Linked DNA regions of Diceros bicornis minor. The protein of the gene in region 1 binds, or shares a complex with, the protein of each later gene. Links are inferred from orthologs where the notes say so. Each region holds a gene or a part of one and is shown in the gene's direction. Other genes may lie near its edges. The genes, in order: ELANE and SLPI.

Region 1 (9,478 bases):
GGAGGAGGTGGCCCTGAGGATGAGCGGGAGGGGGCCGGGCAGAGGGAACAGCACAGGCAGAGGCCTGGAAGAGGCACTGTAGAGTGGACGCGGGAGGGGGTGGCTGTGGGGCCTGGGGACGGGGTCTCACCTCCCCCCGCCACTCCTCTGCCCCAGCTGGACCGCCCGGCCACCCTCAATGCCCAGGTGGCGGTAGCCCCGCTGCCCGAGCAGAACCAGGAGCTGCCCCAGGGCACCCAGTGCCTGGCCATGGGCTGGGGCCGCCTGGGCACGCAGGAGCCACTGCCCAGGGTCCTGCAGGAGCTCAATGTCACCGTGGTCACCTTCCTGTGCCGGCCACAGAACGTGTGCACCTTCGTGCCCCGGCGGAGCGCCGGCATCTGCTTTGTACGTACCGCCCACTCCCGGGCCAGCACCTCGGGGGACATCCGGGGGGACTTCCCGGAGGAGGGGGCTGCCCTGGAGCGCAGGGCAAAGGAGGCGGGCGGATCCGAATCCCACCCAGGGCAGCGGCCGGCCATGCCTTGGTCTCTCCATCCGGGAGGCGGGCTCACCAACGAGGGGCTCAGGTGCGTGGAGCAGCCTCAGCTCCCGCAGGCGCAGAGGGGGCGCAAACATCATAGCCGGCAGCCTCCAGGGGTCCGTCTCAGAAATCATCGGGAATCTGGACCCAGAATCCCGGGGTCTGGGTATACAGCAGGAGGCCAATAGATGCCCGCTCTCCTCCGGAGTGGCCTCATCTCTCTCCTGCCCATGCCTCTTAAAGAAAATTCCACGCTGGAGACATTTTACCCCTAAATGGTGCAGGGCGGCCCCCGGGCCCGCGTCCCTGTGACTGACGGGCCGGTCCCCGCCCTTCCCAGGGGGACTCGGGCGGCCCGCTGATCTGCGACGGCGTCCTCCAGGCCGTGGACTCCTTCGTGATCCAGGCCTGCGCCACCAGCCGGTACCCCGACTTCTTCGCCCGAGTCTCGCTCTACGTGGACTGGATCCGCTCCGTGCTCAGCAGCGTAGGGGGTGAAGGGGCCCCCGAGCCGTACCCTTCCACGGCCCGCCTGCTGAGGCCAGACGCCGAGCCCTGACGGGGGGCTCATCTGGGGGGTCCCCAGAACGCTGCTTCCTCCAGACGCCCCCCCCCTCCCATGGGGCTCTCGGGAGCCAGGCCCCCCCAGTGACCTCAATAAAAGTTGGAACTCCCCGTCCGCCTCCGTCTGTCCTTCCCGCAGGGCATGGGGAGCGGCCGAGGGTCCCCGGCTCCGAGTCCCCGAGCCCCAGGCTCAGGATGGGGGTGGAGCGGAGGCCCGGAGGTGGGGGGCCCAGGCCACAGTGGGGACGCCCACAGACGTGGGTTCTAGTCCAGCTGCCAGTGTGGCTCTGGGCAGGTTGCTGCCCACCTCTGCGCCTCGGTTTCCTCATCTGGAAGATGGAGTCACCCCAGACATGTGCCAAAATGTCGGGGGAGCCCCAGCCTGGCCCTTGGGGCTGGGGGGTGTCATGTGGCTCTGGTCTCCCAGCTTGGGGGCCACTTGAGGACCAGGCCATCGTCACATGGGGTGTCCAGGCCTCTGGGGCTCCTGGTCCAGTCACGGGCAGGCTGAAGGGCCATGAGGGAGGCTTCCTGGAGGAGGAGGCAACACCTGAGCTGACTGTCAGTGTGTGACTAGAACACAAAGAGAAGGGCCGCCAGGCAGGGCATGGCGAGTGCAAAGGCCCTGTGTTGGACGAGCTGGGGGGTGTCAGGAACAGCTCGGCGTGTGGTGTTGCTGGAATGGAGAGAGGCGAGGGGATAGGGGAGGAGAGCAGGTCAGGGAGGTGGTGGGGCCAGAGCACATGGGGCCACGGAGAGGCACTGGGGTGGGCCTGGAGGAGAGAGAAGAGGTAGAGGTCACTGGTCAGCCATGGAGAGGGCGAGCGGCCACAGGGATGAGGCAATCGAGGCTCAGAGAGAGGGGCCGACCCGCTCCCGGGGGCACACTGGAGTGGGAAGGCAGCTCATTCCTTATTGATTTACTCTGCCGCCACCTGGTGGCAGCGTACAAATGGGAGCGAGGGCGAGTCCTCCCAGACCTGCCCCGTTGTCCACTGGTCCACACCTCGACTGACCACCCCCGGGGAGGAGCTGCACCTGCTTTGGAGCAGCAGTGCCAGGAGCAGACATGGGACATGGCCGCCGATCCCGGGAAATGTAGCTGATGAGGATCAGGGGCTGCTGAGAGTCCTCACCTCTCCCAGGGGCCCGGGGCCGGGACGAGGTTTCTGTAAAGAGCCCAGAGGGACCTCCCGGTGCCCGGGGTTGGGGTCTGCGGGAGGGAACGTCAAGAGAGCCTGACAACGGGAACAGAGAGACCCAGACACCCAGCCCCGGGCGTCTCCTGTGGGTTCACGTGTGTGAACGGTGGTCAGAGGAACGTTCTGCGCCCCAACGATCAGACCCGGGGGGAGTTGAGGATCGGGGTCCCAGGGGCACCCGGTTGACTTGCCGAGGTCAGCGGGGGCTGCGGACACGTGGGGAGGACAAACCCACAGGAAGAATCAAAGGACGTTTCGGGGGACACGACTGGGGAGGCTCAGGGAGCGAGGGGCCCCCAAGGGCTCAGCATCCCCCTGGCCCATCCCCAGAGCCCTGATCACGAGTCAGAACTCTCCAGGGGTCCGGGTCCCCCAGGCAATCCCCGACCCCCGCTCTCCTGGGGGGTTAATGGTTGACACGCCCCAGCGCGGCGCCGGATCATCTAAGGACTTAACTCACCTCCGTTCACCGAATCCCCGAGACAATCCTGAGACGGAGCCGATTGTCACAGTGGGAAACCGAGGCACGGGTGGGGGGTTACGTCAGGGGCCTGAAAGGAGGCAGGGAGCGATCGGCCAGCCAGGATATGAACCCAGAGTCGACTCGCTTAACAGTCATGACACGGGGGAGCGTGGTATACAGGTGGTGCTCAGTAAATGCAGCTTTGGCTACATAAGGTGTCCTTTCTAAACCACATCCCCCAAAGACAGGGCCTCCTCCATTCCCCCACCCTCCCAACTAGAAACAGGGCTGTGTATACAGCAGGTGCTGACTAAGTGCTCAAAGGTAGCTTGAACGTGACCGGGTGGGGAGGTTAGCAGGGCTGGTCGATGTGTGTCTGACCAGGGGAGGGATGGGGAGGGGACACCGAGCGCCTGCCGTGTGCCCGGTCGTCCTCGCTGGAGAGATGTGGGGGGTCGTGCCCGTGGCCACACAAGGCGGGGACTCCAGCCCGGGCCGGGCTCCCGGCGCCCCTCCCTCCTGTTCCCGCAGAGGATCCGTTGGTTCCCTTCCGTGACCCTCGCTTCCAGCCGGGGGGACGTTGCTTCTTGCAACACCCAGTTCTTCCAGGCAGAAGCTCCCAGACGTGGGCGGAGACCCACGGTCCGGCCTCCAGGCCCAGACATCCTTTCTCCAGCACGTCCCCCCGACCCGGGTGGGAAGGGGTCCAGAGAGGCTGGTGGGGGGAGCCGATTGGGAGGGGTCCTTTCCCGGAACCTCCGCTGGGGACCCGAGACTGACCGGGCCCCCGGGGGGGAGTGAGCTCCCCGTCGCGAGCAGCAACCAAAGAGAGGCTGGACGGCCGGACCCCGAGAGGGAGAGGCCGTGGTGGGGAGCAGGGGCCACGTCCAGCTGTGAACTGTGGGGCCTGGGCTCAGAACCCTCTGCCCCCGCGTCACCCACTCATGGGCCCGCCATGCCTCCGTTTCCCCATCTCAGAGGGCCCAGCAGCCCCCGCCACCCCTGTGGAACGCCATCGTTGTGGTTATGAGGGTGCCCCGGGGAAACCGAGGCGGGGGGCCCAGCCGACGTCCCTGGGGCACTGACCCTGCAGATAAGCGTACCCCGCCTGGTATTTGGGACGGACTTGCACTAAAACCGGCGAATCCCACGTTCAGACGGAATGGCGCGTCCGAGATTGATCCGGACCCCCGGCCCCGGCTCACCTCCTCCCATGCTTCCTGCTGTCACCCCCTCGTCTCCACGTCCCCGGGGGGGACAGGAAGTGGGGCAACGGCAACGGCCTCGGCGTGGGGGCCATAAGAGGGGCCGGCGGGCACGGGGGGCAGAGACGCGGAGCCTCGCCCGACCATGACTGGCAGCCGCACACCCTCCAGCCCTGTACTCGCCCCCATCCTGCTGGCTGTGCTGCTGGGCGGTGAGTGGGGCGGCGTGTCCGTCTGTCTGTCCCTGGACGTCTCTTCCTGCCTCTCATGGGCCCCTCGTCCTCGTGGGGAGGTGACGGCTGGGATGAGGTGACATGTTTCCAGAGGAAGAGACTGAGGTTCTGAGTGGTGGGAGTCCAGAGCTGGGGTTTGAACCGGGGGGTCCCTGGGCGCCCTCTGGGGACTCCAAAGCCACGTTAAGCCCCAATCTAGCCGCACCCCGGCTGGGGGACCATGGCAGCCCCCTCTCTGCGTCTCTGTGCCTCAGTTTCCCCATCTGGGCAGTGAGCACAAAGAGCCTGGACCCCTTGGGGTCCTGGTGTGAGCCGGGTGGCTGACCGGCCCTGCCCCCCCGTGTGCCCCAGGCCCTGCACTGGCCTTGGAGATCGTGGGTGGCCAGCCGGCCCGGCCCCATGCGTGGCCCTTCATGGTGTCCCTGCAGCGGGGAAGCCACTTCTGCGGGGCCACCCTGATCGCCCGTGACTTCGTCCTGTCGGCCGCGCACTGCGTGAATGGCCGGTGAGTCCCCCGTATCCGCCCCGGCCCTCAGTGTCCCCGTCTGTCCTCGCTCCTCGAGGGGCGGGCTGACCCCCGACCCCGGGGCCGCCCGAGTCACCCCCTGTCCCCCCGTTGCCGGCAGCAACTTCCGGTCGGTGCAGGTGGTGCTGGGGGCCCACAACCTGCGGCGGCGCGAGCGCACCCGCCAGACATTCGGCGTCCGGAGGATCTTCGAGAACGGCTTCGACCCCACGACGCTGCAGAACGACATCGTGGTTCTCCAGGTGGGGGCCAGGGGCCGGGGGGTGGACAGGGGGACCCCAGCTGTCACAGGCACGTCGTCTCTCTGTGCCTCGGTCTCCCCTCTGTGACTCGGGGAGACAAACCCCGCCTGGCCGGGCCTCGGAGAGATTGTGAGAGACGACATCGGGAGCTCTGAGCAATAGTCAATCAACAAACGCCGTTATTCGTGCCCTGTCACAAGTCCCACATTCGGGCCAGCGGGAGACTCAAGGCAGAAACCCTCCCATCCCACTCTTCTGATTCTTCTCTGAGAATGTTCTAGAACGAGGGTTTTATTGGCCTCAGTGTTGCCCATGGTTTGTTTTATTGAGCACCTACTGTTTATAGCACCATTATTAAGCACCTCCTGTTTACAGCACTCAAGTCATGTCCGGGGCGCCCCGGGCCACTGTGGTTGCTGCCAATTACAGACAGGGAAACTGAGGCCGGGGAGGGGAGGGCCGTCGCCCGCGCCCCGTGTGACACTCACGTGCTCTGTCCCAGCTCGACGGGTTGGCCACCATCAATGCCAACGTGCAGGTGGCCCAGCTGCCCGCCCAGGGGCGCAGCCCCAGGAACGGGACGCAGTGCCTGGCCATGGGCTGGGGCCGGCTGGGCACCAATGGGCGGCTGCCCAGCATCCTGCAGCAGCTCAACGTGACGGTGGTGACCTCCCTGTGCCAACGCTCCAACGTGTGCACGCTGGTGCCGCGGCGCCGGGCCGGCATCTGCTTCGTGAGTGCCCCCCGCGTCCCCCACCCCGAGCCCCGCCCGGCCCCAGCAACCCGGCCAGCGGCCGGACCCCGGGAGGGACTGCCCGACCCCGAGCGGGGCGGGGCCCGGGCAGCGCAGCCTCCCACCCCGTCTGTCGGGCTCCGCAGGGCGACTCTGGCGGGCCGCTGGTCTGCGACGGGCTGGTCCAGGGCATCGACTCCTTCATCCGCGGAGGCTGCGGCTCTGGCTTCTACCCCGACGCCTTCGCCCCCGTCGCGCAGTTCGCCAGCTGGATCAACTCCATCCTCCGCCGCCACGGGGACCCTCTGAGCGGGGCCCGCTAGGAAGGGCGGCCCGGGTGCCCCTGCCTCGCCTGCCCCAGCCAGGCCCTTCCCACGCCGCGTCCCCGGGCACCTCGCCCAATAAAAACCCTCTCCCTTTTGTAGAACGTGTCTGGCTGTGTGTCGGTTGTGCCAGCGGGTGTGGAAAGTCGTCAGGGCACCTCTGGGGTATGCTGCCACCAGGTGGCGGCAAATGTGGGGCATTGACGTGAGAAGTCCCTTCCCCACCTCCTTCCACGAAAGGATTCGGGTTACCATTTCTGGATTCCCCCCCATAAAACCCACTTTCATGGGATCACACGAGTGTCGCCGGTGGTGATGACAAAGCACTGTGGCGGTGTTCGTTGAGTGCTCACGAGGTACGGGAATGTTCTGAGTCTTGGGGGGACCTCACTCCTCCAGCCCTCGAGGGGGGTCCTCTTGGAGCCCCCGCCTCACAGACAAGGGAGTGGGGGCGCAGAGAGGTGTGAAGCCGGGCCCGGGAGCCTGAGTTTGACGCCCAGCTCTGTGACTTTGGGCAACTCGCTCACTGTCTCTGAGCCTCGGTTTCACCGCCGTCTGGAAAGGGCACAGCCTGGGGTGGGGTCCTGGTGGCCTCGGCTGCACTGGGTGACGGGGACGAGCCACCCCCCACCCTGGACTTTTGCTCTGATGAGGGAAGAGGGGCAGAGCACGTTTCCCGAGGGAACCACGCCCCGATGGAACCAGCCCTGGGGGGGCCTGTGCCCCTCTTCTGCCTCCCTGGGCCGGGGCCACGGGCGGGACCATCTCCATCGTGCAGCTCGAAGGCTGATGGTGGCGGGGCCACCAAAGCAGAGACAAAAAACGAGAGAAGTGACTTCACATAACGCCCCCACGTGCCGCGAGTTTGAGGTGAATCTCCCCCTCCGTCCCTGCCCCGACCCCTCCCGCTGGAGCTCGTGGCCCGGGGCCCACCCGGGGTCTTTGCCTCATTCTGCCCCCTGTCCCCGCGGGCCGTCCGCCGACCCCCCTCTCCCGGGGCCAGCAGCTCAGAGCGGCCTCCGCTGCCCCGAGATGGCCTCCCCCACAGACCTTGGCGCCTGGCGGTCTCTCCACGTCAGCGGCATCTGGGGACACTCAGGGTTGTTTAGTGAACCGGCCGGTCTCGCTGGGTGGCCTCCAGGTTTTGTTGTAATTTCATAATTGTCCCCTCTTACATAACCCGGACTCCGCATCCCCACGGCTGTTTGTTCAGTTTCTGATTTTAACGAGGAAACGTGTTAGTTAGGAAATCACGTTTGCTGTGTTATTTTCTATTTTCCTCTGCGTGTATGAAATCGTCTGCCTGGAAGGGAAAAGAAATAGAGGGGAAAGTATCACGCACGGTTCCCACTGGGGACGTCGAGGTCCCCCGACCCTGCTGGTCCCAGCACCTTCCCCTGTAGGTTCCTGAGGGGTTGAGCCAGCATCCCCCCCTTACTGAGGGCTGTGTGAGCCGGGGTCCACTCATGAGAACCCGCCATCCCCTGCCCCCAGTGCCTGGTTTGGGAGGGGGTGTGCGGTCCAAGCTCGGCCAACTAGAGGTGGCCTTGAGACACTGGCTGGAGTGATGGGGAATTTGAGGAGGCCCACAGAGCCGCTAGGCTGAGTCTGGGGCCCCGGGGGACAGAGTAGGGGAGCCTGGTGAGGAGAAAAGCCATCAAGGAGGAAAGTAGAAACCAGAGGCAGAGACCTGACATTTTTTAGGTGCCTGGATCAAGCCACACCTGAAGGTGGACCCTGAACTTTCCATTTGAATTTCCTCATCTTCCCCGCTGCCCCCCTACACGACAACTTTCCAATACTGTTGTTGGGGTGTCAGGCCCCAGAGCCACAGCCACGGGGACAAGGGTGTCAGGCGACCTTTCTCCCACCCCCACCCGACCTCCTGTCCAAGTTGGAGGAGGAAGAAAACAAAGGGAGGAGCGAACGCATGAGGAAATGGTTGTTTATAAACTATGGCCTCTAGCTGCTGTTGCGAAACCTCAGGGCCCCCTGGGGAGCAGGGGCTGGGGGCTGGGGTGGGTCCGGCTCTGCCCCCTGCCCATCCTGAGGGTCTGCTCCCCACTCTGGGGCCAGCCCTGGGCCGGGTGCGCAGAGGCGGGAGGCATCCCCGGGGGCCAACGACTCTTGGCGCAAAGTCCCCCAGGAGAAAACCCGCAGGAGTGGGCGGGACACAAGGTTCCCCTTTCCCCTGCTGGGCCGCTGCCCCTCGGACCATGGGGCTTGTGGGAGCCGCCCGCCCCTCTCCGCTCTGATAAAAGCACCCCCGGGGCCCCGCCTGGGCCAGTGTGAGGCCACAGCGGCATCATGGCAGGCCACACCGGGCACCTGGCGGCTCTGGTCCTCCTGGGCGTGGCCCTATGTGGTGAGTGGACCTGGGATGGCAGGGATAGCCGGGGGGCCACCCGCCTGCAGGGTGGTCAGCCAGGGGTCCCCCTCTGCCAAACAAGACTGTCCCCCAGCCCCATTCGGTGGGCAGGAGGAGCGGCAGGGTCCATGAGAGCGGAAGGCTCTGAAAGTCAAGAAATTCTCAGAACCCTGATGCATGAGCATCCTGCACTCCCCCCCCCCACAACAAGGGTCTGAGGGTCTATGGTGGGAAACGGGGGTCCGGGGTGAAACCACGGCGGGAGGGTTGGGTTTGGTCACCCCACTCTTCTCCTGTTTAACTTGAAGCCCTTAGGGCGGTGTGTAGGGAGGGAATTGGCTCCAGACCCCACCACGCCCTATTGCCTCTGTCTCCTCTGGCACTCCTCCCTGGCCCCCAGATTTGAGACTGGGCGGGGGATCCCAGGGATGGAATTTCAGGTCTGAGGGCTGGGGCGGCCTGGGTGGGGAAGGGGCATCCGAGGGCTGGGCTGCAGTCACCCGGAAGCCCTCGCGCCCCCTGCCGCCCCCAGCGGCGCAGCCCCGCGGCCGGATCCTGCGCGGCCAGGAGGCCGAGGCGCACGCGCGGCCCTACATGGCGTCGGTGCAGGTGGCCGGCAAGCACGTGTGCGGGGGCTTCCTGGTGGCGGCGCAGTGGGTGCTGAGCGCCGCGCACTGCCTGGAGGACGCGTGAGTGCGGGCGCGCGGGAGTACAGGGTGGGGACCCGGTGCGGGTCCGGGGGGAGGGTGGATGGGGAGACCGGCTCTGACCCGCTTGGACTCCCCCAGGGCCGGCGGGAAGGTGCAGGTGCTCCTGGGCGCGCACTCCCTGTCGCAGCCCGAGCCCTCGAAGCGCCTGTACGACGTGCTCCGCGCGGTGCCGCACCCGGACAGCCGGCCGGACACCAACGACCACGACCTCCTCCTGCTGCAGGTGGGCCTGGCCCCGCCGCGGCGCCCCTTGCTGCCCCCGGGACCCCGGCCCGCCCGCCCCATCCCCCCGAGTCCAGCCGCGGTCCCTCCTGCTGCACTGGGGACCCCGGCCCCCCGCCCCATCCCCCCGAGTCTCACCGCGGTGCCTCCTGCTGTGCTGGGGA
Region 2 (9,953 bases), on another chromosome or scaffold:
CTGGAGCCTGCAGGTATAAAATCCACAGGAAAGGCAGGAAATTCAGATAAGAGCTAATGTTGCCTTCTTGCCCCTGAATCTGCAGGGCAGCAGGCTGGAAAGTCAGGCAGGGTTCCTAGGTTTCAGTCTTGAGGAACATTCCTTCTTCTTCAGGAAACCTCTGTCTTTGCTCTCAACTGATTGGATAGGCCCACCCACATTGTGGAGGGTAATCTGCTTGACAAAAAGTCTTCTGATTTAAATGTTTAATCACATCTAAGAAATACCTTCACAGCAACATCTAGATTGGTATTTGGCCAAACAACAGAGCACCAGAACCTGGCCAAATTGGCACATAAAGTTAACCACCACAAAAGTCTATACTGTTTTAACACAAACAATAGAGACCCATGGCACTCTGAGTAATAACAGAGCTGCCACACTTTCTTGTGCTGGGAGATGCGAAACGAGTCACATCTAACAATAACAACATGAAGAGCTCGTTTCTGGACCCATAGAGGAAGAAATGGTGCCTGGATACTAAGAAGAAGCTTCATATGCTCTGGCTGGACAATAAGAAAATATGTTGGCACCTCTTCTCTACCATTATTCCAAATCGTCATGGATGAATCACTATATATATATATAAATCACATGGGCCCGTGAATTTTGTAATGTATTTTTTAACCAAATTGTTTGTATAGATACAGGCCCCAGAAAAATATTTGCCGGGGTCCCCATACAGCCTAGGAGCAAGAGGGGTCCAGACTCAAGCACTGGGCTGTAGTTGGAGCCTGACAGCTCCCTGTACGCCTAGTGTACAGTGTAGCCGACTGTAATGAGAACAGTGTCGGCCATCCTGACTGCAGCAGACACTGTGCTGAGGTCTTGCCAAATACTCCTCGCAACAACTGTGCGGCATAAAAGAAACCAATACTCCCATCTTACAGCTGAGGAAACTGAGGCTCAGAGAGGTTCAGCGAGCTTCTTCCAACCCAGATGACCCTGACTCTAAGTTTAGGTTCTTAACAGTCATGCGATATGGACTCCATGTATCTCCTTCATTGCAGCCTCAGGACCTAGCACAATACCTGGCATGCAGTAAGAACTCATTAAATAGTTTTTGTGTGAATGAATTGAATGACTGAATGAGTCTACGGTATTCAGTAGAAGGCAATGGAGGGCATGTGAAGTGGCTCAGTGAATCAATCTTGAGGTAAGATTGAGTTAGGAAGGGATGCGTCCACCACCAAACATGTTCTGGGGATCAGCACTGGAGTAACAAGTTTTGGAAGAGCCCAATCTTGTCTTGTGTAATTAACTCATTATGCAGCCTTGGGCTCATACCTTCTCCTGACAGCAGCAGTCTCATGCTGCAAGATGGAGGTTTGGTCTAGATCAAGAGTCAGCAAACATTTGCTGTGAAGGACCAGAGAGCAAATATTTTAGGCTTCCCTGTAAATAATTTAGGTCTCTGCTGCAATTACTAGACTCTGTGACTGTAGTGGGAAAGTAAGTAGCCACAGACAATACATAAACCAATGAATGTGCGCCATGTTCCAATAAAGCTTCGTTTAGAAAAATAGGCAGCTGTCCGGATTTGGTCCAGAGGCTGTAGTTTGCTGATCCCCGGTCTAGATGACCTCTGAGACCCCTAACAGTCTATGATTTAAAGATTTAGAACCAATTGTGTGTTGGACAGAAATGATCATACAATGTCATTATCCTCCTACGGTGCCCATGGCAGACATTGCTAACTGATCACAGGGCTCTTTTCTGATGAGAAAGGAGTTGGCCTTATCAATCAATCGCAGATAGAGAGCTCTGGCTGTAGCACTCTCTCTTTCTCTCTTTAAGAAGCAAATATTTAGAAAACTCCAGACCTGTCTTGAGTGTGACGTTGAAGAAGATAGGAAGAAACAGAGAGTGGGGGGTGTGGCAGCTTCTCCCACTCTCATCCTTGTGTGAGAAGAGTCAAGCTGCCCCCTGGGTGGTGTAAGTGAGACCCAAAATCCAGAACCTAAGCCAAGCTGTTTCACCTGACAGTGATGCTGCCCATTGGCAGAAGTCAGCCCCTCCGCCTCTCTCTTGCCCTCCTGAGCGCTCCAGCTGGTAGTGAATGCCCCTGGCTCCCACTCATTATCCAGCGTGTGCTAATTTTCTTCATTCTCTTTTCCCACCAAAATGTAAACCATCAAGTGACTTCTGCGTAGAGGGATCTGCTGCCTGTTGACTGTCTAGTTGGAGAATACTTTACAAATTAATTCATGTGGAGCCGTCACTGCTTGATAACGCCTGACTTGTTCAGGTGTATTTGAATTTTTACAAACTTTCACTTTGAGGAATGAGTGGGGAAATCCCAAACATCAAGAAGTCACATGATATTGAGGGAAGAGCTTGGGCTTTGCAGTTAGACAAGTTTGGGTTGAATTCTAGAGATAATGATCACTCTTTGGATAATTAGAAGCAATCTAGGCAGACTGGGTAGCACATAGAATAGGTTTAATATATGGCAGCCATAATTCTTTTATCACATGAAATCTGTAGGGGGTTTTGGGGTAGAAAGCATTCCTCTAATGTCCCAGATTACACAATACAGTCATGCACCACATGACGACATTTTGGTCAATGATGGACCACATATACAACAGCGGTCCCGTAAGATTAGTACCATATAGCCTAGGTGCATAGTAGGCTCTACCATCTAGGTTTTGTGCAAGTACACTCTATGATGTTTGCACAATGATGAAATCACCTAATGATGCATTTCTCAGAATGTATCCCCATCAGTAAGCAGCACGTGACCATGTAACTAAATGTTGATTACAGTGACCAGTGAGCAGCTTTGCCACTTTGTCACAGATTCATTCCAATTCTCTTCAGTTGTAAGGGATACAATTCATTTATTCTTTTCAGGGTCCTTTCACACTCTTAATATCACAACACCCGGGGCTGATTTGTCAGTATCATCCCATTTCACAGTTGGGAAAACTGAGCTCCAAAGAGATTTGCTGAGGGCAGAGCTCTTCTTTCTGCACATTTTATTTGACAATTGTTAATGAGCACTTTCCATGTCTCAGGCACAGAATAGGCCCGGGGATACAGTGGTGTGAGTATTTTTGGGAAATAAATATTTGCTGGTTGACTGATATGTTGTCTGATCTTTTGAGAAGGAAATTGCACTGACAATCAGGAGAGTTTCACAATCCCCAAGAGTCCAGGAATGTGAGAATTGGGGGTGCATTGCTCAAGGTCCCAGCTGAAAGGCCACGTCTCCCGTTTCAGCTCCAGATGTAAATAGTATCTATGGGGAATCAGAGTTGGCCACCTCAAAATATGTCTCTTTACCTTGATTATTTTCTCTGAAGGACATTTGACCTTCCCCCAAACTGCCTAAAAGGGATAGACTGGGAGGGTCCTTGTTAAGCCCATTCTTATCAAAGTTCTGTTTAAGGGAAATCTCCATTTGTAAAGATATCTCCCTCTCTGCACCAGGAAGAAGGAGGATGACCCTATCTCTAGAAACTCTTATCACTGTGCAAGGCGAGGACTTAAATCTGCATACTCTTGATTACTGTGCTTTCTGGTAATCTCCCATAGCTGACTTTCCCCAGCCCCAACATCCTCCTTTGTCTACCTGAATATGCTATTTAAGGTGAAAACCTCTGCTATTTGTCAAGAAACTCAGTTTCCCTGGTTTCTCCCATGTATACATATTATAAAGCTTTGTTTGATTTTCTCCTGCTATTTGGTCTCATGTCAATTTAATTTGTAGCCCAGCCAGAAAGGACCCAGAGTGGGTAGAACATAGTCTTCCTCCCCTTCACATCTTTGCAGTGACCTCTGCTCCCCCTCTCCACCTACAAGGCTAATGGTCCTGTGGCCCCCACCATGTTCAGGGTTCTGATGGACACCTGACATGACCTCCTTATCAGCCTGGTGATATCTTCCAGGCCAGCCTCTTCTATTTCTTCCCTGGCGTTTATTCTGTTGGTCTCACAGTCTCGCCTGGGACAGGAAAGAGCCACTGTCTCTGTGGTATCAGGACTAATGGTCTCTCCCTTAGCTTCCTGCCTATGCAATCACAGCTGGGAGGGGCCAAGGAAATTCTGGTGGGGCCACACCCACTAGTGAAAGTATAAATAGTGAGATTTGGCGTCGGCCATTAGAGCCACCCCTATCCCCACCATGAAGTTCAGCAGCCTCTCTCCCCTCGTGCTTCTTGCCCTGGGAACCCTGGCACCTTGGGCAGTGGAAGGTGCTAGAAATGGTGAGTTGGAGTCACCTTGGTACAATCTTGGCTGCAGGGTCAGACTTGGGGGCTCCTGGTGGTGTGGGGATATCCCCTTCTCTAGGCTCTGCCCTCTCAGCTTCATTTCAGGAGACCTCCCTGAGGGTGGGTTCATGTCCACCTGGGCTCCCAGGTCTCTGTGAGGGCTTGTGAGCATCTGGAATGCTTCTTTTACTCAGCCACTCTGTCAACCCAGGTCTCACTCCCTCTCTGTTCTTACCCCGCCCCTCCATTACCCTGTCTGTGACTCTCCAGTCCTCACTCTCTGACTCTCTGATTCTCCTTTGTTTCTCTCTGTTTCTGTCGTTTAGTCCCTGTTTTCCTGCCTCTGGCTCTAGCTCTCAAACTGTCATGCTGGTTCTATTCATCTTTGTTTATTTCTCTCCATCTCCATCACTCCCAGACCGCCTCTCTGCCTCTGTGAAGACTTGTTTTTCCCCGGGGGCAGGAAGCCTTGGCTGGGAGCCCTATGCCTTTTTCCAGAATCTGTGACTTCTCCTGCCCATGTGTTTAATCAAGCCTGTCACTCCTCATGGAGGTCAGACAGGAATTTCCCTTTGGACTGTGTGGACAGTCACCTGGGTAAGGGTCTCTCCTGGGAAGTGATGGTTTGTTCCCAAGTCATGATGGCTCCTTCCTGAACCCTTGACCTTCTCCTCAAAAGCTTCGAAAGCTGGAGCCTGCCCTCATATAATACCTGCCCAGTGCCTCAGATACGAGGAGCCCGAGTGCCAGAGTGATTGGCAGTGTCCAGGGAAGAAGAAATGTTGCCAGGATGTTTGTGGAATCAAATGCCTGGACCCCGTTAACATCTCGAGCCCAGGTGAGGAGGTGGGAGAGCGGATGGAGGGGAATGAGCCTGAGAACACAGCATCTACAGGGACAGGATTGGGTGATGGGGTCCTGCCAGGCCTCCTCCTTTCCAAGAATTGTTGAGCCAAGTTTGTCAGCTGGTCAGGAGTCATACTGTTCCAGACAGGAAGTTACTCACCTGGCTGCTGAAGCAGCCAGTCTGTCAGGAGGTCAATTTTTCAGGGAATAGTCATCTGGTCATTAGACAACCAGGCAGTTGGCAGCCACCCATCGAAACAGCACTGGACAACTGGTCACCTGCATTGGTGGGGGCCCTGATGTTAGAGGAGAGCCAGATCCTACCTTCAGGGGATACATAGGCCTCAGGAAGGAAGTGCTCGTCATGGGGATGGGGAGGAGGTGATTCTCTTTGCTCAGGCTGGGGCAGGGCCTGGGTCCAAGAAGCAGAGGGGTGGTGTGAAAGGTACAGGCCTCTGACCTGTGGCTCTACACTCACCAGTTGAGAAGAAGCCTGGGAAGTGTCCAGTGGTCTATGGCCAATGTCGGATGCTTAACCCCCTCAATTACTGTGAAACAGACAGCCAGTGCCTGGGTAACCTCAAGTGCTGCAGGGGCATGTGTGGGAAAGCCTGCATTTTCCCTGTGAGAGGTAAGGAGGGGCTGGGAAGACGGACCTCCCTGCCTCCAGCCCTCTCAGTCTCAACCCTCTGGAGGGCCGGGCATATGAGCAGGGGGTCTCCTGAGCCCTACCCCAAGCAGAGCCTCTGCCTGACCCCCTTGTCTTTCAAGAGCACTATTCCCCAAGCCCTAGGGCAAGGATTTCTATAGGATCACTCCTAGCTTTGATTCTGTTCCAGCCTCTCCAGTTGAGGACCCTTGACAAGTGACTCTTTGAGTCTCAGTTTCCTTGTCTGTAAAAGGGACACAGTGAAATTGAAAGTGCTTTGTGAAGCACTGTGTGCACTAAGTATTTATTATTATTTCCAGCATGTTGTCTTGGGTCAAAGCCCAAAGGATCAGTGGATTTTAAGAATAATCTAGCTCAATGCTCTGAGTTTAGAGTTTTATAGTAAAATTGAGACTTGAACTCAGTCTCCCGATACCAAGACTCTTTCAACGATACCACCCCCTTGCTGTTTTCTCTGGCTCGGGGGGGTCTCTTGGGGAAGCAGCTGGAGATGATTTGGCTGGTTCTGCACTGAAGCTCTGATCTGATTTTCTCTCACAGCCTGATTCCTGCCGTTTGGAAGAGGCTCTGGATCCCTACTCTGTGCGGTCCGAGAATTCCCTTTTTGCTCCCAGACCTGGATCCCTGGGGCACTTCACCGTGAAGACTTGGTTCTACCATCAATATCTCCTTTGGGGAAAGGCTGGGCACACAGTAGGCTTTCAGGAAATGCCTGTGGATTGGTGAATAAATAAATGAGCATATTTCTCTCTGTGCATCCTGCTTCTGTGGTTCACTAGGGGGTCCGAGGTGGGTGGGAGGTGACGAGGGAATGTCTGGATGTGAGGCCTCCCTCCTACAGATACGGAAGGGAAGGAAGAGGCTTAGGGGCTGGACAGACATGAATTTACATCACGAATCTGAAAACATTGGCTCGTGATTTTGGACAAGTGACTTTGTCTCCTAAATCTCAATTCTTTATCTGCAAAGTGGCAATAAAAATCACTTTCTTACAGTGTTTGGAGCTTTGGGGTATGCAACGTATGTGAAATAAATAACAATGTTACTGGGCCACAGCAGGTTCTCCAAAAATGGTGGATTCTTGCCTTCTGCGGTGATTTTGAGCCTCTTTCTTTTCTTCTCTCTCTCAAAACACTATTTCTTCTGTCTTAAAATAAATGTTGAGCAGAACAATGTGCACAAGTTATCAATCCCAAAGGAGGACCCCAAGCACTTCTGCCCACTGCATCTTGATATCAGAGTCTCCAAGGAAAGCACAACGCAGCCAAGGGCTGCATGGCACAATGCTTTACTTACACAGCAAAGAATCGGCTTCTGTGGAGGGCCTCGATCTCCCATGGCCAGTGAGTCTCTCCCGGCAGCTGAGGCAGGGCAATTTACCTACGTGCACCCCTCTCATGCCACAGTAGAAGGACTCCGTCCCCTCCCAGTAGAGGACAGATACAGCACTGGGGCTGGCCAGATGCCATATAGCGCACACACTACACAGAACAAAGGAGCTTACGTTGAGCTTGAAGCAAGGAAAGATCTTCACACACGAGGCGATAGGCCTGGCACAAGCTGTGTGGGTTCTTTATCTCTTGGTAAGTAAATATTTCAGGTCCAAGGCCCGTTCTTATGCAACTGAGTGGGGGATGCATGTACCAGACTGCCTTTCCCAACAATAAGAATATTGTCATGGTGGGTCACGGTTATGACGTGCTGTTGGCCAATACCACGTGAGGGTGATGCTCTTGACTCCATAGAGCAGGAAGAGTAACAAAAGCCAGACTCCTGGAACTGGGGACGAGCAGGGAAGCTTGCTTCACATTTCTCTGGGCTCTACAGACTCTAAAGGAAATAGAGAACATGATTAGATAATGATTAAAAAAAAGACAAAACAAAAAATTGTAATGTAATCATTTCCCGGAAGACTTCACTGGTCTAAGAAAATATTCCATGCCACTTTCAAGCAATGTTCCAAGAGCAGCAACTGGATGTATTAAATAAACCGTTTTGGAGAAGAGGTGAAAGAGGGGAAGCCATTTTATTTGTTTTATGAGTGTGGTAGCCACCCTCCAAGATGGCGCCCAGTGATCCTCGCCTCTTGGCATTCACACCCGTGTGTAGACCTCTCCCACATTTTTGCACGGTTGGTCTGTGTGACCAATAAAATATTGCATAGTGATAGATAGTTTTGTCCTTATGAGATTAGATGATAAAAAGATTGCAGCTTCCATTTTGGAAGTGCATGCTCTCTCCCACCACTTGCTCTGGCAGAACTCAGCTGCCATGTCACGAGGACACTCAGCCAGCTGTGGCGTGGCCCATAAGGTAAGGACCTAATATCTCAGGCCAACAGCCTGTGGGGAACTCAGGCCCACCAGCAAACACACAAGTGAGCTTGGCAGGAGATTTTTCAGTCCTAGATTTTTCACAGTCTAGTCTTGAAATGACTCAAGTCCCAGCAGAGAGCTTGATTATAACTTTGTGAGTGACCTCGAGCCAGAACCACCCAGCTCAGCTGCTCTCGAATTTCTGACCCTCAAACTGTGAGAGAATGTTTACGGTTTTAAGATGCTAAGTTTTGGGGCAATTTGTTATGCAGCAATAGATAACTAATGCAATGAGGTTAGCAAAACTTTGATGCTACAACCAAATATGGACAGTAGAAGAAAAGATAATTACAAACCAATGTTGTCTTCTCTGAACAAAGCTGGGAACATCCTAAATAAAATGTTAAAAATTAGAATTCTGTGAGGGTTTAAAATGCTTTCAGGAGAATTCAATGTGAATTCTTTATTGAAAATAAGAATAGAAAGGATAGAAATTAATCCAAAAAAAGAAAAAAGAAACCTACCTGAAACTCTAGCAAAACCTACATTAAGTTGAATTTTCAGAGGTATTGTCGCTCAAGTCAGAAAGAGAATAAGGATCACTGCTGTTTTTCAACAGTGTATGAAATACACAAAACTATGCAATAAGATGAGATAAAGGGATATAGCATTTCTACACATTATCTATAACCAATTAGAAATAGTAGAAGTAGACACAAACAATCAAAGAAACAAATCTTACAATATACCCAGAAATAAACCTAAAAATTATGCCGGACCTTAGTGGATTAGGAAAAAGAAGAATTTTATTGAAGGTCTAAAATAAGAACTGAAAAAATGGAGAAATAATTATTATATTTGGGAAGGCTCAATAAGGTAAAATTGCAACTCTTAAAAAACTATTTATAGGGGCTGGCCTGGTGGCGTAGCCATTAAGTTTGCGCACTCCGCTGCAGCGGCCCGAGTCCACAGGTTTGGACCCTGGGCGCACATTGACGCACCACTTGTCAAGCCACGCTGTGGCGGCGTTCCATATAAAGTAGAGGAAGATGGGCATAGATGTTAGCCCAGGGCCAATCTTCCTCAGCAAAAAAAAAAAAAAGAGAGAGAGAGGCGGATTGGCAACAGATGTTAGCTCAGGGCTGATCTTCCTCACAAAAAAAAAAAATTATTTATAAATTCAATATAATTGCAATAAAAACTCTAACATGATTTTTTAAAACAGCTTGACAAAGTGATCCTACAGTTAATATATTAGTATAAAGCTTACAGAAGAACCAAGAACATTTTTAGAAAGTACAAGAATGAAAGCTAGCCAGACCGGGTATCAAAAAAACATTATTAATTATATTAATTGTTAATTATAACAATTAATGTAGTATGATGTTGGCATAGGAATAAAAAAATAGTTTAATGGAATAGAACAGAATGTCTAGAAAGAAACCTGTGTATTTGTGGACCTTTTTTATATAAAAGGGAAGAATTTTTACAACTGGGTAGGGCAAAGCTCAAACTAGTAATGAAAGCAATTGGCTTTTTTTTAAGTTCACTCAGACAATTTTTATTGAGTTTAACAGTAGTCTTTAACATAGTGTATTAGTCAAGGTTCTCCAGAGAAACAGAACCAGTAGACTCGGTAGCATATTTATTTATATTTATTATGAGGAGTTTGTCCTGCCGTCCTGGAGGCTGAAAAGTCCCATAATCTGCCGTCTGCAAGCTGGAGACCCAGGAAAGTCGGTGGCGTAACACAGTTCAAATCGGAAGGTCTAAGAACCAGGGGAGCTGATGGGGTAAATTTCAGTCCCAGGCAGGAGAAAATGAGGTGCAACAGCTCAGCTGAAGCAGAGAGGCAGGAAAAAAGGTG

The links.
Region 2: the proteins of ELANE (region 1) and SLPI are in contact, whole or in part, in a crystal structure (PDB 2Z7F), measured with the Homo sapiens proteins. The link is inferred for Diceros bicornis minor from reciprocal best matches to the Homo sapiens genes ELANE and SLPI. Residues at the interface, in NP_001963.1 of Homo sapiens: His53, Phe54, Cys55, His70, Cys71, Asn74, Val75, Pro111, Val112, Asn113, Leu114, Leu158, Ile165, Leu180, Arg182, Val197, Cys198, Phe199, Gly200, Asp201, Ser202, Ala216, Ser217, Phe218, Val219, Arg220, Gly221; in NP_003055.1 of Homo sapiens: Tyr93, Gly94, Gln95, Cys96, Leu97, Met98, Leu99, Pro102, Phe104, Met121, Cys122.

The regions. Positions count from the first base shown.
Region 1 is NW_026691553.1:442,568-452,045, forward strand, and holds ELANE (neutrophil elastase), read left to right. Parts: upstream 1-4,093; 5' UTR 4,094-4,102; coding exon 4,103-4,169; intron 4,170-4,541; coding exon 4,542-4,695; intron 4,696-4,816; coding exon 4,817-4,958; intron 4,959-5,460; coding exon 5,461-5,691; intron 5,692-5,837; coding exon 5,838-6,014; downstream 6,015-9,478. Other genes in the region: myeloblastin-like, read left to right, coding at 157-387, 864-1,036, 1,227-1,307, 2,620-2,800, 3,731-4,054; CFD (complement factor D), read left to right, coding at 8,322-8,379, 8,915-9,071, 9,171-9,315. UniProt on the Homo sapiens protein: Serine protease that modifies the functions of natural killer cells, monocytes and granulocytes. Inhibits C5a-dependent neutrophil enzyme release and chemotaxis. Promotes cleavage of GSDMB, thereby inhibiting pyroptosis. Promotes blood coagulation.
Region 2 is NC_080758.1:15,991,199-16,001,151, forward strand, and holds SLPI (antileukoproteinase), read left to right. Parts: upstream 1-4,155; 5' UTR 4,156-4,167; coding exon 4,168-4,249; intron 4,250-4,934; coding exon 4,935-5,093; intron 5,094-5,582; coding exon 5,583-5,732; intron 5,733-6,311; coding exon 6,312-6,316; 3' UTR 6,317-6,521; downstream 6,522-9,953.